Xenopus tropicalis: one gene and its partners. The protein of the gene in region 3 purifies or fractionates together with the protein of the main gene of each other region. This does not show direct contact. Links are inferred from orthologs where the notes say so. Each region holds a gene or a part of one and is shown on either strand. Other genes may lie near its edges.

What was found.
Region 1: the proteins of tacc3 (region 3) and ckap5 purify together in Homo sapiens (co-immunoprecipitation; 5 studies listed by BioGRID and IntAct, with this or other methods). This does not show direct contact. The link is inferred for Xenopus tropicalis from reciprocal best matches to the Homo sapiens genes TACC3 and CKAP5.
Region 2: the proteins of tacc3 (region 3) and slain2 purify together in Homo sapiens (co-immunoprecipitation; 3 studies listed by BioGRID and IntAct, counting the BioPlex papers as one, with this or other methods). This does not show direct contact. The link is inferred for Xenopus tropicalis from reciprocal best matches to the Homo sapiens genes TACC3 and SLAIN2.
Region 4: the proteins of tacc3 (region 3) and vasp purify together in Homo sapiens (co-immunoprecipitation; 3 studies listed by BioGRID and IntAct, with this or other methods). This does not show direct contact. The link is inferred for Xenopus tropicalis from reciprocal best matches to the Homo sapiens genes TACC3 and VASP.
Region 5: the proteins of tacc3 (region 3) and enah purify together in Homo sapiens (co-immunoprecipitation; 3 studies listed by BioGRID and IntAct, with this or other methods). This does not show direct contact. The link is inferred for Xenopus tropicalis from reciprocal best matches to the Homo sapiens genes TACC3 and ENAH.

The regions. Positions count from the first base shown.
Region 1 is NC_030680.2:12,922,141-12,926,630, forward strand, and holds part of ckap5 (cytoskeleton-associated protein 5), read left to right. Parts: coding exon 1-168; intron 169-914; coding exon 915-990; intron 991-2,379; coding exon 2,380-2,568; intron 2,569-3,283; coding exon 3,284-3,421; intron 3,422-4,490. UniProt on the Homo sapiens protein: Binds to the plus end of microtubules and regulates microtubule dynamics and microtubule organization. Acts as a processive microtubule polymerase. Promotes cytoplasmic microtubule nucleation and elongation. Plays a major role in organizing spindle poles.
Region 2 is NC_030677.2:38,879,260-38,884,427, forward strand, and holds the start of slain2 (SLAIN motif-containing protein 2), read left to right. Parts: upstream 1-2,149; 5' UTR 2,150-2,281; coding exon 2,282-2,682; intron 2,683-5,168.
Region 3 is NC_030677.2:20,373,931-20,379,187, forward strand, and holds the start of tacc3 (transforming acidic coiled-coil-containing protein 3), read left to right. Parts: upstream 1-2,199; 5' UTR 2,200-2,320; intron 2,321-5,257. UniProt on the Homo sapiens protein: Plays a role in the microtubule-dependent coupling of the nucleus and the centrosome. Involved in the processes that regulate centrosome-mediated interkinetic nuclear migration (INM) of neural progenitors.
Region 4 is NC_030684.2:70,566,239-70,570,728, reverse strand, and holds part of vasp (vasodilator-stimulated phosphoprotein), read left to right. Parts: intron 1-819; coding exon 820-857; intron 858-1,158; coding exon 1,159-1,403; intron 1,404-1,652; coding exon 1,653-1,798; intron 1,799-2,984; coding exon 2,985-3,070; intron 3,071-4,490. UniProt on the Homo sapiens protein: Ena/VASP proteins are actin-associated proteins involved in a range of processes dependent on cytoskeleton remodeling and cell polarity such as axon guidance, lamellipodial and filopodial dynamics, platelet activation and cell migration.
Region 5 is NC_030681.2:8,522,817-8,527,306, forward strand, and holds part of enah (protein enabled homolog), read left to right. Parts: intron 1-24; exon of another isoform or gene 25-48; intron 49-341; exon of another isoform or gene 342-437; intron 438-610; exon of another isoform or gene 611-964; intron 965-1,221; coding exon 1,222-1,562; intron 1,563-2,708; coding exon of another isoform or gene 2,709-3,488; intron 3,489-4,490. UniProt on the Homo sapiens protein: Ena/VASP proteins are actin-associated proteins involved in a range of processes dependent on cytoskeleton remodeling and cell polarity such as axon guidance and lamellipodial and filopodial dynamics in migrating cells.

The DNA of each region.
Region 1 (4,490 bases), on a different chromosome or scaffold from region 3:
GGTCAAGGAAGCTTCCACGGGAGTCCTTAAGGACTTAATGCACGGCCTAATTACTCTCATGATGGATACTAGAGTAGACGATCTTGAGGACGGGCCGCAGGTTACCCGCTCTGTGAATGTGTTGCTGGTGAAGGTGCTGGAGAAGGCTGACCAGACCAATATCTTAAGGTAGGTGCCAGATGCTTCATAGCAAACTGTAGGGCTGGTTCCCACCCCAGGGGGCATTGAGCAATGGTGGGGGGAGGCTTTCCCTTAATGCTGCTTAGAGTTAGCTTTGGGGAGTCTTTCTTTTAGATACACCCCAAAAACCAGTTTGAAGGTCAGAGTAAGACTTGGAATAAAAATGTATTATCTGCACCGTAACTATGGTTGAATGACTGTGCCACTATTTTTATCTGTAACCTAGTAAATAACTAAGGGGGGCCATGGCTTAAAGGGTTTGTTCACCTTTAACTTTTAGTATTATGAAGAGTGATATATTCTGAAACAATTTGCAATTGGTCTTTTTCATTTGTGGTTTCATTATTTTAACCTTTTATGTAGCAACTCTGGTAATCTGGTTGCTAGGGTCCAAATTATCCCCGCAACCACACACTGATTTGAATGAGAGACTGGAGTAGGAGAGGCCTGAATACAAAAGTTATTAAAAGTAACAATTGCAAAAATTGTAGCCTCACAGGGCAATGATTTTTTCAGCTGCCGGGGTCAGTGACCCTAATATAAAAGCTGTAAAGAAGCAGAAGAAAAGCAAATCCAAAAACTATAACACAGAAAACGAAGACCAATTGAAAAGTTGCTTAGAACTGGCCATTCTATAGTCAAAGGGGGTTAGAACAAAGTTTTGACAGCCCCTGCTTAATAGAAACCCTGGTATCTGGTAAGTCTGCCCAAACTAACTCTGTCTGTCTCTGCAGTGCTCTGCTCATGCTGCTCCAGGATAGCCTCCTTGCTACGGCTAGCTCCCCCAAATTCTATGAGCTGGTTATGAAGGTACGGTGCAATCCAAAAATTGTTCCATTAGTTGATGAATCTTTTATATTTGTCAGTTGTTAATGTTAAACACTTTGGGGTATATTTATCATGCTGTGTAAGAAGTGGTAATTGCCAGTGATGTCGCTCATAGCAGCCAATCGGATGCTTTGCTTTGGTTTTCTGTTAATCTAATAGCTGATTGGTTTCCCGGGCAGTAATGCTTCACCCCACTTTTGCCCGGGAAACCAATCCGCTATTAGATTAACAGTTAGAAAACCAAAGCAAAGCATCTGATTGGCTGCTATGAGCCACATCACTGGTAATTACCACTTCTTACACAGCATTATAAATATACCCCTGTATGTAGTTTCCCTCTAACTTTGTTTCCATGTCATTACATCGCATTCAGTTTTTTTTTTAAAAGATTTTATTTTGCTTTTTTAAAGATTTAACAGCATTAAAGGAACAGTAACGCCAAAAATGAAAGCGTATTTAAACTATAATGTACTGTTACCCTGCACAGGTAAAGTTGTGTATTTGCTAAAGTAACGGTACTATAGTTTATATAAATAAGCTGCTGTGTAGCCATGGGGGCAGCCATTCAACCTGGAAAAAAGGAGAAAAGGCACAGGTTACATAGCAGATAACAGATAAACTCTGTAGAATATAATGGAGCTTTATCTGTTATCTGCTGTGTGCCTGTGCCTTTCCTCCTTTGAATGGCTTCCCCCATGGCTACATAGCAGCTTTGTTTATATAAACTATAGTAGTCTTTCTGAGGCAAACATACCAGGTGTACCAGCACAGGGCAACAGTACATAATATCGTAATTTATTTTTATACACTTTCATTTTTTGGTGTTACTGTTCCTTTAAGGGAACAGTCCCTTTACAGACCAACAAGGGAGAGAGTCGGGGGCAGGAGAAGAAGGGGAAAGAGTGAGCTGGTGGGGGGAGGCAAGTCAAGGGGTTACATTTATATTACTCTCAACACCGCAATACCTCTACATCACATTCAGTTTTACTTGAGCTTCCATTGTTCACTGCGTTCGACTTCCTGAAATGTTATTACTCTTAAGTGAAGTCTTAGCCTGGCAACCAGGTGATGTGGGCCTATGCCAGTGTGGCCTATTGACATTGGCTAGTAGTGCAACTATGCAGCCAAACAATCCCCTATGGTTGCTCACAGCCTAAACATAGTTAACATTATATTATATTAAAAACTATACAAGCCTTTAAAGCTATAGAGCAACTTATAACTCTCTAAAACTTTGCTGGCCATATTGGTTATGTTCCAGGCCGATTGCTAAATTGTATTATAACATGAAGTCCAAACCAAACTTTATTAGACAATCTATTTCTAACGCTGTAGGACTGCATTGCTAATCCTGAGTTTTTGTCTCCGCAGTGTCTCTGGCGAATGATCCGTCTCCTGCCGGAGTCCATAAACAACCTTAATCTGGATAGGATTCTGCTGGATATCCACAACTTCATGAGGGTCCTGCCCAAGGAAAAGCTGAAGCAGCATAAGAGCGAGCTGCCTATGAGGACATTGAAAACTCTGCTGCACACACTCTGCAAGCTCAAGGGGCCCAAAGTAAGCCACTGGGAATATTAATATCGCAGAACTACATATCCCAGAATGCATTACAAGCTGGCCAAAGGAATGTGGGAAATTGTTGCTTACAGAGGCTTGGGTTGGCTGTTCCTCGTGTAAAAAGATGTAAAGGGATTGTCCACCATTGAGTTAACTTTTAGTATGATAAGAGTCGTAATCTGAGACTGGTCTTTTATTTGCAGTTTGTTTGGCAGCTCTCCAGCTTGGAGTTTCAGCAGCTATCTGGTTGCTAGGATCCAAATTACCTTAGCAACCAGGGTGTGGTTTGAATGAAAGACAGTTGCAAATAGGAGCGGAACTGAATAGAAAAATAAGTATTATAAATATAATGATAAAAATGCAGCCTCGGCAATAGTTTTTGGCTGCTGGGGTCAGGGACCCCCATTTGAAAGCTGCCAAGTTAGAAGAAAAATGCAAATAATTCAAAAACTATGAAATACAAATAACGAAGATTAATTGAAAAGTTGCTTAAAATTGGATTTTCTTGAACTTACTAAGTAACTTTAAGGTTAACTTTGGCCGTAACCCCGAGTTAGAAGATGCAATTGACTTCAATTGGTTAATTGTATTCTGTATTCCCCTAAGGCTAAGCAGCGATCTTCAGATTGTGCAAACTAATGTAGCCAATGATCACTTCCATAGATTCCAAGTATCCCATGTAAGTTGACTGTAGCAAACACTTAATGTGTTTTAGATCATGGACCATCTGAGTATGATTGAGAACAAGCACGAGTCTGAGCTGGAGGCCCACCTCCTCAGGGTAATGAAGCACTCCATGGATAGCACTGGATCAAAGGGCGACAAGGAGACTGAGAAGGGAGCATCCCGCATTGTAAGTTTCTAACTGATGGCCCGTTTTCCATTGTGTAGTTGGCCAACAGGGGGCACTAGGAACAATGAGCAAAAGCAGGCAGAAAGAAATGCCTAGTGGCCTTTATAGCCCCCAGTACAATACATAACGGTAAGCATATTCAACAGAGAGGCGGCCATACTCAGGCCGATTGCAGCTGCCGATATCAGTCCCTTAAACCGATTCGGCAGTTTATCGGCCCGTGTGGGGGCAGAAATGACAGCCATGCCGACCAACATCTGGCCTGAAATTGGCCAGACATCAATTGGGCATGTTAAAAGATTAAGTCTGATCGGGGACCGAATCGGCTTGTTGATGTGGTCCCCGAACTGACTGCCATTGCTGCCGTTAGAATTCGATCGTTTGGCCGCAAGGCCAACCGAATTGGCCTACATTTTCCCAATATCCCCCACCCATAGGTGGAGATATTGGGAGAAGATCGCCAAGCGAGCAGATCTCAACATGTATGGGCACCTTTTTAGCCTTGTTAAAGTTGCATGTTTTTAGATCAATAGGGGTAGGGCCTGCTCGCAATCTACATTTGTGATTTATCCATTAGGGCCTGCTCACAGCTTGCAATCTAATGGTTTTTAGTTTCTTTCCCAGGAAGTGACCTGGGCCAAACTGTATTCAGTTGTTGCTGGAACACAAATCCCAGTAGACTTTATATATCGGGGCGATAGTGCATGCTTAGGACTGTAGGGCATCACGGTTGTATTCACTAGTGTATGAGTGTTCCTGCTTTCTGATTAGACCCAAAGCAGGGGTGGGCAAACTACGGCCCGCGGGCCACATCCGGCCCCTTGGCCTTTTTAATCCGGCCCGCCAACGACGCCAAGTCTCATCACGCGAGACTTGGTGTCATTGGCGGGCCGGAATTAAAGAGACTAAGAAGGGCTTAACGCTGGCCTGGCCCTGCCCGCCCTGGTCCGGTCCGGCCCAGCCCGGGGGTAAGTAAATGTGGCCCGTGAGCCCAAAAGTTTGCCCACCCCTGACCCAAAGGAATAAAACATAGGAAAGGTTTTGTACAAAATCCAACTAACTAAGCACT
Region 2 (5,168 bases), about 19 Mb from region 3:
TGTGACTTATCTAGTGAGGGGCATCTGGGAGTTTGTTGGCCCCAAGTTACACCTCTGGGTGTATAGTTTGCAGTTTGTTATGTTGTTGGAACTCAGGCTGAACTGCTGACAGAGCAATGTTTTTACATATCTATGACCATTTTATGGGCTAAGGGGTACTCTAGCCAAACCATGGACCTCAAACAGGGGCTTGAAATAAAAAATGTTTAAAACCACTGGTCTGAAAGGTGGTTTAAAGGGAGGCCTTCAAAGGGGCAGAGGTTATAAACCTATTTTAAGGGGATACAGCAATAACAAAACCATTCCCCTTCTTAATCTAATTTCATTTATTTCTATGTGTTAAAAGCTCAGATTTCATATATTTATTCATTCTACAATATCAGTGGTTTTGATTCCTTCTCCTTACGTTCTATATTACTATCACAGCTAAATTTGGTTATTGCCAGGCAGCACAACTATTAAAGATAACATTCTCAGATAGAGGATAAACAAGAGGGTAATTTTACTTGTCAAGTGTCTTGCAATACTACTAGAAGCCAGGACTTAGTTAGGGGGGGTGTCCTATGTTTAGGTTACACCAGTTTTGTTAGCAGGCCTAAATATAACTGAGGAGCAGACATGTGAATTTCCTAATGATCTATTCTGGAGAGGTATGTCAGCACAACTGCTCCAATCTCTGGGATGCTGTAGATGTTCTCATTTTCAGGATTTATATCAACTATTTAGATTTTTTATTTTAGAAGCCTGAGAGTGACCACTTATAAGGTAACATGTAATCTCCCAAACACGATGGACTCTATTTATTAACTATTGAAGAGGCAATGTTCTCTGTTTAGCAGTTCCTATTGATTTTGGAAAAGCTTTTTCACAAAGCTTCATTAAGAGGTGACTGGTCAGAATGATGCTGAAGACGATATCAGTATAGAAAAATGTCACCAATATCCTATTACTTCAATTATCCCTGGACTGGGAGTCAAAATAGGCCTGGCATTTGAAGTACCCAGAGGCCCAAACAGCCCCCCCCCAGCCCAATAAATAGTGAGTGTCTATGGCATCTTACAGCAGCCCCTCTGGCATTTGCCAGAACCCACAGATTGCCAGTCTGATTTCAAGAGCATTTCTACAACTACTACACAGCTACTCAATGTAGTCATCTTCACTATTTGCCAGTCTGGATGTTGGTGTGCAGCAAACAGGGTTAAACCTTTAAGTGTCATAATATAGAGGACTGGACATGTATTCTAGTACCAATTTGCCATTCTCTTTCAAGATAGGTGGTGGAATCTTACCTAGGGTACTTAAGAGTGGATATAGGTTGTATATCAACAGCTGGAAAGTTGCTGTTTGGCCATCCATGAATTGCACATTTTTACCCATAGACTGGGGCTTGCCCACCTCCATCCTTCCTACATACCCTGGCACCCCAACATCTATAACTGGAGCGGGTAAATCTAGCATTAGTGTCAATGTTTCTTACAAATATGGCACTGTTCCAAAGGCTGCTCAGCAGTTAAAGCACTAGAATTGTAACACCAAAAAATGAAAGTGTATCGAAGTATTTAATATATTATGTACTATTGGCCTGCACTGGTAAATGTTGTGCGTTTGCTTCAATAATCTTTACTATAGTTTATATAAACAAATCTGCTGTGTAGCCACAGGTGTAGTTATTTTAAGTTTAAGAAAGGAGAAAAGGCACAGGTTACATAGCAGATAACAAATAAGCTCTGTAGATCACCATTGTATTCTTCAAAGCTTATCCATCATCTGCTATGTAGCCTGTGCCTTTTCTCCTTTTTCCAGCTTGTATGGCTCTGTGCCACAGCTTATTTATATAAAACGCAGTAGTGTTTCTGAAGCAAACACAAAACATTTACCAACAGCACCTTATTACCAATAGCACCAAATATTTTTTGGTGTTACTGTTGCTTTAATAAAGTTGAGGGGATCCCTAGGGAGCCGCCTAACTTCTGTCTGCGCTGTGACGCAACGTTTCGAACACACCCAAATGCCCCTATGCCACTTGCCCAAATCAAAGATGTCAGCTTGGAGTCCCTTGGCAGTTACGGAGCAGCAAATGGGATTCCATTTTAGGGAGGGGCTTGAGGTGCTATGCCACGTCCCTTTATTGCGAGTTGGTGTCTTCTGATGAGGGCTGCTGTGGGATTGGCTAAGGGCGCTTGGTGGGCGCGGTCTGAGGGCGCAGAGTGGCAGTTGCTGTGAGGCACCGGGCGATGTGTTCCTGCTGGGGCTGAGCCGCTACCGGGAGCGGCGGAGGGATATGGAGGACGTTAACTCCAATGTGAGCGCAGACCAGGAGGTGCGGAAGCTGCAGGAGCTCGTCAAAAAGCTCGAAAAGCAAAATGAACAGCTCCGGTTACGTTCCAACCACACTCCGAGCTCTCCCCGGGCAGCCACTCCTGTCAGCCAGCAGCCCCGGGCACAGGCCGTTCCGCCAGCCGCCTCTTTCCAACTTTTTGCCGGCCGTAGCCTGAGCCCGGGGCCTGGTCTGTATGAGAGACCGGCTGGGCTAGCGGACGGGGCGACATGGGAAGAGCTGCTGGAGGAAGCCATAGAGGAAAGGAGGAAGGACGGGGAGAGCGGCCTCATGCTGGAGCAGCTAGTGCCACTTCGGCCGGAGGAACTGGAGAGGATGGTCCCCTTTGATGAAGAGGAGAGCTGGTAATTCTTCTATTTCATTGTGACAGGAGCTCCCAACTGTTGCTGAACTACAACTCCCACCATGGCCCGAATGCTGCCACCCAGCTCTATAAATGTCTTATCTGCCCCAAAACTGCTTTATCTTCATAGTGACAGTAATGGCCATTCTGGGCCACTGCCCAATATGCATTCGTTAGGGTTAATGCCTTTATAGTTGTTTTGAAATATAATTAGCACTGAATGCCTTCTGTGTTTATATACTGTACTGCTGCTGTCCCTGACTCATGAAACCATGTAGCAGAAGCTAATGAGCAGGCCTGAAAGGGAATTGAACACTTTAACAGCTGTTTCAAGAGTCAGAACCAGAGAACAGAAAGTGATAAATACTGTTTTTTCCTTGTATAGAAAAAAAAGTTTACAGCCATTTACATTTTGTATTAATCATATATAGAATGACACAGCAAAAGAAAGTTATTGGGTTGGAGAGCCCCTTTACAAGTTGCAGCAGGTTAGGTGGCCCTGAACTACATGAATTCCAGTCTGTGTTCCCTGACAACTTTATTTCTCTTTTATTCCAATGGGATCTGTATCCTGTGCATGTCCAGCTGTATTCCCACTGCCGCTGCCAATAATATTGCAAAGGGCTGGGAGTGAAGTACAATAAGAAGTGCAACAATAAGAATCAAACTTGCTGTGAGTCTGTATACTGTGGGGGCTCAGGGAGTTGTAGTCTAGTAACTGTAGAAGGTCTTCTCAGGGCAGATTTTGCTCCTTTTATACTGGGAGGTATTTTGTGACTGCTGAGTAATGTGCAGGTTGCCATCCTTGCCCTTCCCTGTAATGAACATGATCTTCCTTAGCACTCTGCTATTGATGCCAGCAGTCAGCCCTATGTAATATACGTTATTATCCTTTGCATAAATCTATGGCTGAAGATAACGCCAGTATATGTTGGGGACTACGAGGCTTTCACAACACAAGCAGCTTGGCATTAGTAGCACCTATGGGCCAGGCGCGTGAGTGTTAGCTGAGGCATCTGCTGATATAATCCTGTGTACTTGTCAGTAGGAGAGCAGTCAGAAGGACAGGGACTCCTCAGGAGTCAGCATTTAGCAGAGTGCATTGATCTTACCCGGATGGCTCGTCTCTCAGCAGTAGCAGCACTTACAGGAGCTGGCATGAGCATTATTTTTAATCATCCGTTCTGAGTATTATCAGTAAGTATTGATATACCATTGGTACCCTGATGCCAACCTCTTCCTCATATTCTCTACGGATTAGAAGCAATATCACTAGAAAACACACAATTCCATAGTCTCTTCCCATAGACGCTGCCATAATGTGCGGGCACAGCTGCTTTCCCCGGGCACAGAAGCTTTCCCTGGCACAAGAGCTTTCCCAAGCACCTATAAAACAGCCTGGGACATGGCAGTCATTTTTGTTTTCTTGTATAGAGGAACGGGGTGACGTAAAGAGACTGGCATGCTTTTATGTGGGCTGGATGCTAATGAAAAGTTGTTTTCTGGCTGGTAACATTAAGTACCCATAAAGAGCAATCCCTGCAGCAGGAAGGCACTTGTCTGACTGCCATAACAATAGCCTGGGTCACAGGTAATTACCAAACTGTTTCATGCTGTACTATGATGTGATGCTAGATTTATAAATTCCTTTAAAGGATATTTAAAGCAAATTTCACCGGGGACGGGGGGCAGTAAAAATGTAAGGCACCCCCAGTGAAATAAATTGCAGAGTTGTTTCCCCTGCCTGGGACTCCTGTTTGAGGAAGACTGCACAGGCCCATGGGAAAAACTATCTGAGCGCTGCATTTTAGTTACTTTCTCCAGGCACCCCTAGTGCATATTTTTATTTCCAAGTAAACCTGGCACATAAGCAGTTTTACTCTACTGCTTATGCACGATCACCCGTATCCAAAGTCTTAGCATATGGTGCAGTGGGTGGTGCAGTTTTCTTTTTGGCACTACAGTAAGGTAGGCTTTACATGTCCAAGATTGGCTCATATGGCTTCTTGGACAAGTGTAATATCCAAGTCTACAGTGAACTCAAGAATTACAGTTAGTTTAGTGTAGTAGTTTGTATACAGGTATGGGACCTGTTATCCTGACTACTCGGGACTTGGGGTATTCCAGATAAGGAGTCTTTTTGGAATTTGGATCTCTATACTTTGTCTACTGAAAAATAATTTAGCAGTTAAATAAACCCAATAGGACTGTTTTGCATCCAATAAGGATGTTAGTTGAGATCAAGTACAAGGTACTACAGAAAAAAAAAAAATAAGTAAAAAAAATAAAAATTACATTATTTGCTTAAAGTGGAATCTAAGATGGTTTTCCCGTAATTCAGAGATTTCTGGATAACAGGTTTTAGGATAATGGATCTTATACTTGTATATAGTTTATATATGTGAGTGTATTGATAAGGCTATATAGGTACAGGATCCATTATCCAAAAAGCTCCAAATTACAAGAAGATCCTAATTACAAGTCCTT
Region 3 (5,257 bases):
TTTGTCGCACAAATTGACGCAAAGCACTAAAAAGTTGCAGAAATTAACGAAAATATCGTAGAAAATACGCACAGTTCTAAAACATAAAAAAAAATACGATTTTTTTGCATTCTGACTCAATCGTACTTTAATGAATAGGCCCCTAGGTGCCCAACTGTGATCCACTGTCAAAAAGTGAATATTTCTGCAACTGGCCTGCTGCTGTTGCTACTGGGCTTGATGGCCAAAGAAGTTATATCAGTCAATGACCATTGCTTTCTGATGACTCCCTCTGGGCAAACATGCCAACTTTCCCTATAGTTTCAGGAGTCAGTTTTGGCCCAGTCTCCTGCTTCCCTTCATTTGTGTCAAAGGTTAATTTTAGACTTACCAGTAAAAAAAAGATATATAAACCCTGCATTAAACTGATACAGGCAGCATGGGGCATAGCTGGGAGTGGGTATGGGGCGTGGCCAGGGGTGTAACCAGGCGTGATTGCGGCAAAACAAGGTGTGGCCAAAATGTTAATAAAAATGGCAAGTTGGCATATCTGTCAGTGGTGTCAAACTCTGACAAAACCAAATAAGCTGCTGTGTAGCCATGGGGGCAGCCATTCAGGAGAAAAGGCACAGGTTACTTAGCAGATAATATACACTATATAGAATATAATGGGGTTTAATCTGTTATCTGCTAAGTAACCTGTGCCTTTTCTCCTGAATGGCTGCCCCCGGGGCTACACAGCAGCTTATTTATATAAACTATAGAAGTCTTTCTGAGGCAAACACACAACTTTCACCAGTGCAGGGCAACAGTACATAATATTTTAATTACTTTTATACACTTTTTTGGTTTTACTGTTCCTTTTATGCCGTGTTATTAATAGGGAAAAAAAGGCCAAAATATAGGCAGTCAGTATTTTTTTCCAGAACAGGTGGCAACCCTAGGTGCCGGAGGAAGCTTTGCTTCAGTTGCATTTAGTGCCCTAGATGGGCTAGAGCAGGGGTGGCCAGACTTTCTTTAGTCGCGATCGACCGGATCAACACGGAATGCGGAAGTACGGCGTGAATACCTACATACGTGACGCAGCGTACGTACGCATTGACGGAGCACTCCTGCATTCCTGGCGTGATTGCGTTCCACCAGAAATCCACGGGGGATTGACTGGTGGATGCAATTGGACCCCTGGGCTAGAGCCTTTATAAAGCAGCAACTGCCACGGTTTGCCACCATGTCTAAAGCTGGCCATACACCCACATAGTTTCGTCCAATTGTTGGACCACGTGGTGCTTGGTTGTTTAGTCAATCAGACAGATTAGAAAATTTTGGTAGAATAACAACAAAATCTGTGCTTGAATTGTGTATCTGACGATATCTTAAAGCTGGGCATACACGCACCGATAATATCGCACGAAACCTCGTTTCGTACGATATTCGGTGCGTGTATGGCAAGTTGGCGAGTCGACCGGTATCGCAGGAGGCTGCTGATATCAGTTGACTCGCAGATCGGCCAGGTCAAAAGATTTTGATCGGGCGCCATAGAAGGCAAAATCTGCTGTCAGGGCTGAATCGGCAGAAGGAGGTAGAAATCCTATTGTTTCTACCTCCTTATTTGCCGTTTCAGCCCTGAAGGTTAGTGGCGGGTCTGACGATCGCGAAAGATCGCAGATCACCATGTGTGTGGCCACCTTTAGGTGCATTTCCAGGACATCACTTTCCCTACAATTGTTGTCTGCCAATTATTTTATGTTTCGGACTTTATCCAACAATTTTATCTGAACATTTGTTGGAAGGAAACAAGAATCAGAACTTCTATGGACACCTTAATAGCACAATTATATATTCCTCACAAGAGACTTCTCAGATTCTGGCAAACACCATTTCTGCCTTACACTAAATCTAGCAGTGACTGGTGATAACCAAAAATAAGTATTTATATTAGACATATATTTATTAAACAAGTGGGAGAAAGCACAAGAACCCAGGGGAGGATACGTGGCAGGCGGGAATGAAATGAGAAGACAACAAGCAGAACAGTAAGCCATTACACAGGGAAGCGCGATCCCGCTAAAACAAAGACGTCACACACAGTCACGCCTCTCACTGTACGGGGGCGCGCAAACCCGTGTCACAGCCCGCGCTCTGTGATTGGTTCATTCGTAACTGTTCGTGACGTAGGGAGTTTTCGGCAGCTGTGATTGGACGGGTTCTTCCAAACTCAGAAATTCAAAAAAAGTACATGGTCAAAAAGCGTCTGAGGCGCAGCAGGCTTGCACAGATACCCGCCGGGGTGCATAAAGGTTTAAATAGCGCGGTGCCGGCAGCTCAGGCCTTCTTCTCGCAGGTGAGGGGATATGGCGAAGTAGTTTGTGACTGGGTTCTTATTGCTATCGGTGGGGCTGGTATACACGGGCGATGACTGACTTCTGTGTCGTGATTGTTGAGGCAAAGGGGGCGCACGTATTGTTTAGATGTTTAAGCGACGTCGGTATTTAACAATGTTCAGCGTCACAGGGGCGCAGGTCTGGATTTTGGGCAGAAAGACTATTTACTTAGGGGTTGGGGTAATGGCTTTATTACTATTTAATACACAGCGACCCCTTGGCCTTACTGCACTGCATGGTGAGGAGGAGAGGGTTGGGAACTGTAGTCTGGGAATTCTACGAACTTATACATGCAAAGGTATCCATGTCCTGTCACCTATAGCAACCAGCAGGCCTGGACTGGCAATCTGGGGGTTCAGGCAAATGCCAGAGGGGCTGCTGTAAGGTGCCATAGACACTCACTATTTATTGGGCTTATGAGGGGCTGTTTGGGCCTCTGTGTACTGGGAATGCCAGAGGGGCTGCTGTAAGATGCCATAGACACTCACTATTTATTGGGGGGCTGTTTGGGCCTCTGTGTACTGAAAATCAGGCCTGGACTGGCAATCTGTGGGTTCAGGCAAATGCCAGAGGGGCTGCTGTAAGGTGCCATAGTCACTCACTATTTATTGGGGGGCTGTTTGGGCCTCTGTGTACTGAAAATCAGGCCTGGACTGGCAATCTGTGGGTTCAGGCAAATGCCAGAGGGGCTGCTGTAAGATGCCATAGACAGTCACTATTTATTGGGGGGCTGTTTGGGCCTCTGTGTACTGAAAATCAGGCCTGGACTGGCAATCTGTGGGTTCAGGCAAATGCCAGAGGGGCTGCTGTAAGATGCCATAGACACTCACTATTTATTGGGGGGCTGTTTGGGCCTCTGTGTACTGAAAAATCAGGCCTGGACTGGCAATCTGTGGGTTCAGGCAAATGCCAGAGGGGCTGCTGTAAGGTGCCATAGACACTCACTATTTATTGGGCTGGGGGGGGCTGTTTGGGCCTCTGTGTACTGAAAATCAGGCCTGGACTGGCAATCTGTGGGTTCTGGCAAATGCCAGAGGGGCTGCTGTAAGGTGCCATAGACACTCACTATTTATTGGGGGGCTGTTTGGGCCTCTGTGTACTGAAAATCAGGCCCAGACTGGCAATCTATGGGATCTGGCAAATGCCAGAGGGGCTGCTATAAGGTGCCATAGACACTCACTATTTATTGGGCTGCTGGGGGGCTGTTTGGGCCTCTGTGTACCTGAAATGCCAGGGCCTATGTTCAATCCCAGTACAGACTTGCAACCAATTGCATTTCATTTTGTTGGTATAATTAGTGCTGGGCGGTATACCGTAAAATACCGAATACAGTTTTTTTTTTTTAAAAAACGATATTCATTTTTGAAATACCCCCATACCGGTGATGATCGGGTTGCGCCCCGTGCGTACATGACGTCAGTACGCACGGGGCGCAAACAGAAGCGGCACGGGCCGCATCGCTGGCCAACTTGCTGTATGGGGGGTGGTGCTTATAAATAATAATCGTAATTATAAGGGGAAAGTGGGGGGAAAGCTTCCTGCTGGTCACAGCTGGTTACATGCTCCCTCTACTTGCGCCTCACTGGTACAAACCTCCCAAAATTGCACATTCCAAGTACAGAACTGCATGAAGCAGTGCTTCATATACCGATTTAGAACCTCTGAGGAATTGTACCAACACGAGCCTTTCCATATATTTTCAACTTTGTTCCCTGTGGATTAAATACTAATTGTCTCAATAGCAATATTTAGGGGCCCTGGCCACCAATGTTAATTGGAAAAAAAAATACCGTCAAATACCGTGATACTGATATAATTTTGAAAAATACCGTGATATAAATTTTTGGTCATACCGCCCAGCTCTAGGTATAATCCACAAAATCCACCAAAGCATTGCCACCCTGGGGGTCTAGTTATACCCTGGACTGGGGTTGTATTGCTCAGGGTGGGTGTCTGCCATCCCCGGTGCCCTATACAGGCTTTCAGACTGAATAGACAGTAGAGAACTTTTCTAAAGAGTGATTTACTGCTTGTTCATGGAGTCTGTAGGGGGGGCAGGGGATAGCTGGGAGGAGATGGTGGGTAGGTACCACCCTATGCCAGTGTGCATGAAGAACCTCATCTGAAGTTTATAAATTGGCACCTCCATTGACGTGGGTGTGGCCGACATGCTTGATATTCTTCCTGAAGCTGCAGAATTTGTGTAAAATGTTACCTGGCATCTGGGCTCCCTAGTGGAGGCTTAAGAAATCTAGAGGGTGGAGAGGATTTATCATTATTTTGAATGCTTTAATAGAAAATACCTGTTAAATGAATGCTTTAATAGAAAATACCTGTTAAAACTTGCCTTCCTGTCAATTGCACTACAGCGATACGGCGAAGGAAGGAGCAGCATCCACTGTGCGACGATCGGTTGATCGAGCCTAGCCTTCCTTCTGTATAGGAAGGAGTCAGGCTAGACTCATCAATCGTCGCACAGTGGATGCTGCTCCTTCCTTCGCCGTATCACTGTAGTGCAATTGACAGGAAGGCAAGTTTTAACAGGTATATTCTATTAAAGCATTCATTTAACAGGTATATTCTATTAAAGCATTCAAAATACTAAGTGGTTTGCAGGATAGGGCGGTTATTGGTGCAGGGTAGAATAGCTTTTTCACTTAAAAAAATTTTAGTGTTACTTTTCCTTTAAAGGGGCCTTTCTTGCAGCATGCGCTAAATAAATAGAGTTTATGTTGAAAATACATCTACCTACACTTTTAAAGAAAAAACTATCCATATTGATTTTATTTAATAACCTAGCAATAGAGGAGCTTTGGTTTCACACTTTTCATATCTTCCATCTGATGAAGTTAATTAGGTAATATTAAGGTGATAAACAAGGTGCAAACTTCCCCTTT
Region 4 (4,490 bases), on a different chromosome or scaffold from region 3:
TTTACATACGGAGCACTGGGGAGAGGTCCCCATTGCTCCGTATGGGAGCTAAATTTCAAAGATTAGGTGTGGCGGGGCGGTGTGCTGCCCCTATATCTGTGCCGCCATAGGCCCAGGCCTTTGTAGCCTCGCCACAAATCTGGGTCAGGTGACAATAAAGAAAGGCCTGGATTTTTCTCCAGCCAGAGTCTGTTTGCAAAACTAGCATTTAAGACATGAAAGCATATTGTATTACTTTGTGCCCAAGATGCATTTGCTCACTTTATTACCAAAATTATGTTTATCTGTAGACAAGAGAAATAAGAAAGGTTGTTAAACAGCAACTGAACAGTGGATGATGATTAGGCCAATGGCAACAATTAAAAAAATGGCAATGGAAAAATATGAAAATACACCTTTAAATATTTCTTATAGACAAATAAAAAACTAAGGCATAGCAGCTTTTAAAAGTGTCGTTCATGTTAAAATAAATGTTACTTCCATGATGTAGACTGTAATATTCTATTACAATTTGCAGTTGGCTTTTTTAAATGACTAGTGTGTTGTTCAGTAGCTCTCCAGTTTGGCACTTCAACAGATATCTGGTTGCTAGAAATTGTTGTGGGCTGCTGGGTCAGTGTCCCCCATGTAAAAGCTGGAAACAAGCAGAAGAGAAAGCCACATAATTAAAAGAAATGATTTTCCTCAACAAACCTAAATGTGAACTACCCCTTTAAGTATTAAAAGATTAGAGCTTTGAGCTGCTCTTGAAGTACAGGGTAAAACACTTTGTAATTCACTTGCTTTCAGATATCCTTTATATATTTCCTCTACTTTCAGGGTGCAACAGGAAATTGAGCAGAGGATTCAGAGCCCAGGTAAGGGAAATAGGGGCCGTTCGGCTTTATAGCTTGTATATTTCCCTTTTGCTGTGGGTCCCAGGGCAGAACCTTTATTGTGGCAAAAGATACCATTGCAGAAGTGGGAAATGTGTGGGTGTATATGTTTTTAACAGATTGTTGAGGTATTGAGCTATCTGCACATTAAAAGGCCAACTTTGGGATTTACAGATAGTAGTTATTGTTAGAGTATAAACAATTATTATACTATATACCATTATAATTAGTTTTTAAATGATTGCCCTGCTGAGAGTATCTTCTTCTCTTTACACTCTTCCAGTTGCCCCGGTCATGCCAACTCCTGCTCCTGCTGCTCCCCCTGCACCACCTGGCCCACCTCCTCCCCCAGGTCCACCACCACCACCAGGGGGCCCCCCAGGGGGCCCACCAGCTCCTCCAGCTCCCACTGGAGGTGGTCCCCCACCCCCACCCCCACTTCCATCTGGGGGTGGAGGAGGCTCAAGTGGAGTTTCTGGGGGGCTGGCGGCAGCCCTTGCAACAGCAAAATTGCGGAAAGTGGCCAAGGTGAGAATCAAAGGTTTGACAAGCATTGTATGGGAAGTTTAGAGGAAAATCTATATAGCTATATCTATATACCATATGAGTGAAGTACCATATGATGGGAGTACATATACTAGATGGTAGAAAACATGGAACACTAGGAAGCAAGATAAAATGATAACAATTATAATTGATTAATGTATGTCTGGGGTGAAAGGACAGTCATTTTTATGGACCATACTAGTTTTTTTTTTTTTTTAATTTGTTTTTTAGAATGATGATGCTGGTGGTGGAGGATCCTCTCCCGTTGGTGGAGCACCTGCCAAGCCTGACATAAGTCGCACAAGTGGTGGGGCAGCAACAGGAGGGGGTGGTGGAGGAGGACTGATGGAAGAGATGAATGCAAAACTGGCTCGCAGGTAACCTGGCAGCAGATTTGAAAGGTTGTTGTAACAATACAATGCTTCAGCAAATAAAAAGTATGCAGGGGGTGTACAAACAGGGTGATCTCTGCCACGTGTAGCATAGACCCACCATTTCTACAATAGAAGAATCATGATTAAACCAAAATGTTGTGCACACTTCTCATCACCTTACTATTACATTCAATAGTTAATTAGCTGACATGGAATGTTAAAATGTATATATTGAAGTATTGTAAGAATATGTTTGCCCCAATGTGCTTAGTATCATACTTTTATAAGCAAGCAAAGGAATTAATTTAGAATCCGGTTTTGTGGTCTCGTAACTGTGGGTAAATGCTGATGTGTGCATGTAGTAGAGGAGAGAAAAACGCTTATGGTGCAAACAGGTTTCCAGGCAGACTGTCACTGGATGGCTGATGTCTAAACTGCCTTTGTTCCAGTATTCCTGACTAAAGCCATACACGCACCAATATTATCGTATGAAACATGTATGGCGGCTCGATGAGGCAACCGATATGGCAAAAGCTGCGGATATCGGTCGTCTCGTCGATTGGCCAGGCTAAAAGAATTGCACCCCAGCAAAATCTACATTTAGGGCTGAATTGGCAGGTGGAAGTAGAATTTCTATTGTTTCTATGTCCATATCTGACGATTCAGCCCTGAACGTCAGTGGAGGGTGGGAACGATCTTTTGTGCGACCAGTGATCGTTATTGCTACGTGTATGGCCACCTTAACCCTAATAGAAACATAGTGGACACTGGAAAAAAGAAGTGTAAGGGGGGGCGTATAAATCGGACCAGCAGAGAGTATGGTATTATATACTGTAAGTGTTTCAACCAAAGTGTTGCACTTTGGTATGAATAAACTGTGCCATACAATACTTCACTATTGGGAGGCTTTTGTTTTGCTTTGTGTTTTTTTATCAGATTTAGCTAAGAGTAGCATTTGTATACAGTATGTTCCACTATTTATTTTATTTCTATAAAACATGCAAATAGAATTATGTATTTATTCCATAGGCTGGCTAAGTTTTGTATACTAATTACAAGGAAAATAAATTCAAAACTAATTAAAATCAAATCAAAATGGGCTTTAGACAAGCCTATCCAGGGAGGGAGGCAAACAGGGGAAACAGGTGGGCCATTGTGTAAGTTGTCGTATACCTTCTCACAATTACAGGAAGATGATGACACAGCAAGGGGAGCGCCCACCACCCACCACAACCCAAGATGATAATGATATTCAGGCAGGACGTGGCCAGAGTGGTAAGTGAAAAATATATTTTAATATATTATCAGCACATTATATGGCCAGCTTTAGAAACTGTTCTAAACACATACTAATAAAAAGTAACTTTCCAATAAAGGAACCAGCCAGTATTACCAGGGGAGATAACTGCTATGTATGTCTTCAGTATTTACTTTTTAATCATATTTGCAGTACACAGATTTTGAAGGAAATGTAGATTTTCCTTCACTAAAAAGACATAATTGCTGTGTAAAGTGCTTTATTCTAAATATATTTACAGAACAAAAAAAACTATTGTCATGGTCTGAGACTATGCATGCAATATAATAGTTGGGTTAGAGGCAGCATGTTGGAGTGGCTTGCAGGAATCATACCCACCTGCCATTTGAGAAAATAAACAGAGCAGAAAAGCAAAACATTTACTGCAAAATATTAGTAAGGTAAAACTTTTGTTTCATTCAAGGGTTTAGGTTGATTGCACATATAGCACATTTAGTGCTTTTTTTTAGCTGGCTAAATTGTACCCTACTACCACCTTTGAGGCCTGCATCCAGAAATTATGGGCACCTGTACTACTTGACTAGCAGGGGCTGCCAGGGTTTTTAGCTTACCAATTGCCCTAGACTCCTGGGCAGTGGTCCCTGACAACTAAGTAGAATGTGTCCCCAATGCAAAAAAGAAGCCAATTAAAAATTTTGCACCAGACCAAGCCCCTGATCTGCCCCACCCCTTCATTGTCTGCAAATGGGACTTTAGTATTTCTCAGGCCCCTCCAGGTCTGGATTGGGATTCAAAATAGGCCTGGCATTCAAAGTACAGGGGCCCAAACATGCCACCTCAGCAGCCCAATAATAATAATAATAGTGACAGTCTGTGGCATCTTACAGTAGCCCCTCTAACATTTGCCAGAATCCACAAATTACTAGTTCAGTTTTTTTACCATGAGCCCCTATCCGGAACTCTTGTGTACACCTAATAACTGCTCTGCTTCCTTTTGGCATAAAGGAAACACAGCGCAAGTGTTTTTAGGTTGAAAGCCACAGAAATTCTTGCTGTATGGTGTTTACTGTTGAAGTCAGTGGGGGTTGGCAGCTGGCAGGGAAGGTTTTCAGTGATTTTTAGCCACCTGAAAAATGTGACCAGTATCTCACAACCTTAAAGGAGAAGGAAAGGCATTTTGACATTTTATTGCCAATAGATTAGTCACAATAGTGCAAGCTAGAACGCTATATTTATTCTGCAGAAAGCTTTAGGGCTCTGGCACACGAGGGAGTTTAGTCGCCCGCGACAAATCTCCCATGTTGCGGGCGACTAATCTCCCCAATATGACATACCACCGGCGAAAATGTAAATCGCCAGTGGGATGGCATACGCGGCGGCGTGATCGCCAAAGTTGCGTCTCGAGGTAACTTCGGTGATTTCCGCAAATCACGCCGC
Region 5 (4,490 bases), on a different chromosome or scaffold from region 3:
AATGGGCCCCTCATACTGTTACACCTAATGGGCCAATGAGTTCTACACCTAATGGGCCCCTCATACTGTTACACCTAATGGGCCAATGAGTTCTACACCAGGGCCCCTCATACTGTTACACCTAATGGGCCAATGAGTTCTACAACCAGGGCCCCTCATACTGTTACACCTAATGGGCCCCTCATACTGTTACACCTAATGGGCCCCTCATACTGTTACACCTAATGGGCCCCTCATACTGTTACACCTAATGGGCCAATGAGTTCTACACCAGGGCCCCTCATACTGTTACACCTAATGGGCCAATGAGTTCTACACCAGGGCCCCTCATACTGTTACACCTAATGGGCCAATGAGTTCTACACCTAATGGGCCAATGAGTTCTACACCTAATGGGCCAATGAGTTCTACACCTAATGGGCCAATGAGTTCTACACCTAATGGGCCCCTCATACTGTTACACCTAATGGGCCAATGAGTTCTACACCAGGGCCCCTCATACTGTTACACCTAATGGGCCCCTCATACTGTTACACCTAATGGGCCCCTCATACTGTTACACCTAATGGGCCAATGAAGTTCTACACCAGGGCCCCTCATACTGTTACACCTAATGGGCCAATGAGTTCTACACCAGGGCCCCTCATACTGTTACACCTAATGGGCCAATGAGTTCTACACCAGGGCCCCTCATACTGTTACACCTAATGGGCCCCTCATACTGTTACACCTAATGGGCCCCTCATACTGTTACACCTAATGGGCCCCTCATACTGTTACACCTAATGGGCCAATGAGTTCTACACCAGGGCCCCTCATACTGTTACACCTAATGGGCCAATGAGTTCTACACCAGGGCCCCTCATACTGTTACACCTAATGGGCCAATGAGTTCTACACCTCTGTGATCTTTATTATCCAATAGTATAAAAGCCTCATTTATGGATCCCTCAGTGACTCCCTGCCCAGCATGCAGACAGACAGACAGTACCTGGCTCTGTTATGGTTTTGGAATGACAGTGTGAGTGACACTGTGACCCTAGTTAAGAGATTATTTGGGAGAATAATGGGTTGTGAACTAGTGACCGGCAGCACGCCGACCCCTCCATAGTAGTAAAGGTGACTGCCATTAAAATATTAATGTTGGTAGAGGAGGGCATTTAGCAGGTAGCCATGGTTCCCTTTATCCCTGTGTCATGGCTCTCTCCGTTCCTGTTTCAGACAGCTGCAAGAGCAGCAGCGCCAGAAAGAGATGGAACGCGAGAGGCTGGAAAGGGAACGGCTGGAACGTGAGCGACTGGAGCGCGAACGGATGGAACGAGAGAGGCTGGAAAGGGAAAGGCAAGAAAGGGAAAGACTGGAGAGGGAGAGACTTGAACGAGAGCGCTTAGAGCAAGAGCAACTGGAGCAGGAACGGCAGGAAAGGGAGCGTCAAGAACAGCTGGAGCGAGAGCTCCAAGAGCAAGAGAGACTTGAACAAGAGAGACAAGAGAGAGAGGCCCAGGAAGAGCTGGAGAAGGAGCAGCTGGAATGGGAAAGGGAGCGGAGAGTGTCCAATGCAGGTAAGTCATCGTTCCCAATTGGATCCCTCTTATTGGCTCACTGAATATATATATGAGAGGCCATAGTGCTAAGCGCCTCATTGTGACTTTGGTGTCTCTCAGTGCTTTCCTATTCACCTATTTCCTAGAGGGTGGGGGTTTCTTGGTCGTACAGTTTGCTCTGTGGTACATTGCAAGCCCTCACTGAATTGCCCCATTCGGCCCTTTTGCTCTCTATGAACCAAATCTACCAGCCAAGGATCAGCCGCCATTAATAGAAGGTGCCGGGGTCAGCTGACCCTGCAGTGACTCTCAAACACCATCCGGCACTTATTGCCGTAAACGTACTCCACGGGTTTCTTTCTGCGATCTGGGAAATGGATGGATGATTTCATCCTTATATAGTGATTTGCAGCAGGAGTCGTTGGTTTGCAGCATAAAAAAGTCTACTGTTGAAACCAAAATATTAAACATAGAGTGGAGTTGGCTGGATTTCTGCAGGAACGACCGGTTTATATTAGGGCTTTGGATATAGACGTGCCGGACATATTCCCTCTTAATGTTTTTCGATATCTTGTTTTATTGAGAAGGAAATGATATTCTGCACATTACAGAGTATTTGGAGGCAGAGCATAATTGCCCAGGGAGAGGGTAATTGCCCAGGGAGAGGGTAATTGCCCAGGGAGAGTACATGGCAATCAATCCCAGGCCTCAGTAAGCAATAAGCCCCCCTTTGTAGCCCAGTCTGGCAGCAGTGAGTGGTGCCGGGGTTGCACAACATGGGGTATTTACCAGTAGGGTGCCATTCCCGGGCAGGGGCAGTGGGGTAGAGAGTGAGTGACATTAGGGGGAAAGGACAGTAGGTAAGTCGGACTCACTACATGAATGTGGAGTAACTGAAACCAATTGTGCTGGTGTTATTATCTTTCTGCCCCGGGGGGGGGGGGGCGGTACAGAGTCCCTCTAGCAATGCCCCGTTAGGCAGAATTTCTTGCACCTATGACTCAATGAATTCATTGCAATATTCCCTTTATCTAATCTATTACTAACAATTTCCATTGATTTATACTTTTTGTTTGAATGCTGGTTTGGTTGCTTCATTAGCCCCTTTTTTCTCTTTTTTTCCTGTTTTTTCGTCCTGTCTGTTGCTATCCCACCTCTCCCCAGACCCCCCGTTCGACAGCTCACTGTATAACACTCAACATGTTGATTTTTCCAGCTGCCCGCCTCATGCACCCTCTCCCATAACTTACGCTAAAGCCATTTCCGTTCCGGTCTCGTCTATTTGTAGCGAGTCCATTGCTGACTATGTAATAGCAACCTCTGCCTCCATTAACTCTACTCCGCCAACACCACCGCTGCGCCACTCGGCATCACGTTTTGCAACCTCTTTGGGCTCCGCCTTTCATCCTGTTCAGCCCCATTACGCCACCGTTCCCCGACCCGTTAATAAAATCTCCCGACCTCCTTCTCCGGTGAATGCTGCTCCGCCTCCACCGCCTCCACCTCCTCCTCCCGTGAAGCCCATATCATGGTCGGCTTCTAACTTTGCCCCCCTTCCTCCTTCTCCTCCGGTGATGATTAGTAGTCCTCCGGGCAAAGCGACCGGCCCCAGACCCGTCCATCTAGTCTCCGCTCCCAGCCAGCTGGCCCAAATGGCTCTCATATCTTGTGCACCCAATGGGCACGCAGACTGCTCTGGTTACCAAGTGCCGCCGCCTCCGCCCCCATTGCCGCCATTCCCACCATTTTCATTGTCCTCATCTCCTTCCCCGAGCACCCCTGTTGTCTCAGCACCTTCATCCCAGCCTAGTGTTCTCCCTTCTCCCTCTGCAGCTTCCCCTGCCTCTGTTGAGAATTCTGTAAGTTCTGTGCTGGGAGACTTCTCTGCTTCTCAGCCAGACCTGCCTACACCTTCTCAGCTGACTGACCCTACGGCCCATCCGGGTAAGACTTATGGTCGCTGCAACTAACTGACTAACCTAGATGTTCATTCGCAATGTGTATTGTTTAACCCTGAGCAGCCGAGTAGGAAGTACCCTACAATGTTACTCTGGGGGGGTCGGGGGCTGTTATGGTTTTACTCAGAATCTGAGCACAATTTCTCCAAAATGTTCCAAAGCCGATAGTCTCCCTTCCTCCTTCCGCCTCAGTAATAGGTTCTTCTGCTTCCCAATGTGTTTCCTCACTTCTTACAGAGACCTGTAACTGTTAATGGTGAACAAACACCTTGATTCATAACTGCCATTTTGCATAGGAAAGCGATTGCTGATAAGTTTGCCCTGAAGAAAATGACAGTTAGTGCCCAGGCAAAGGGGTGACTAGAGGGGAACTCACACTTAGAGAGCCTCACAGAGTCCCCAATGGGGTTGGTTAAACACGCAGAATTACACACAAAGCAGCCAATAACCGAAGAGGTAAAGAGGGTCCTGTCCAAAAGAGCTTACAATCTAGAATATCCGGAAGCGACCCATATCTGATTTTCTCAGGCAGAAGGAATAGGCTGGATGTGTCACATTACCGACCCCACAATCAAGTTATTTAGTTTTTTGTTCAGCAGCTTCCCCAGTTTGGAGTTTTAGCAGCTATCTGGTTGCTGGGGTCTTGTTTACCTTAGCAACCAGGGAGTGGGTTAAATGAAAGACTGGAATTTGAATAGAGAGGGCCTGAATAGTAAGATAAGTAATAAAAAGTAACTATTAATACATCTGTAAGTGCATGGAGCAATAGATTTTGGCCGTCGGGGGTCAGTGATCCCCCTGGCACCCATAAAGCTGACCTATAGTGAATCAGTCTCTAGGTGAGGCAGAGGCAGCAGATTCTCAGCAGATATCACTGAGCGCTGATTATAACTTGATGACATCACTGAGCGCTGATTATAACGTGATGACATCACTGAGCGCTGATTATAACGTGATGACATCACTGAGTGCTGATTATACAGGTTGA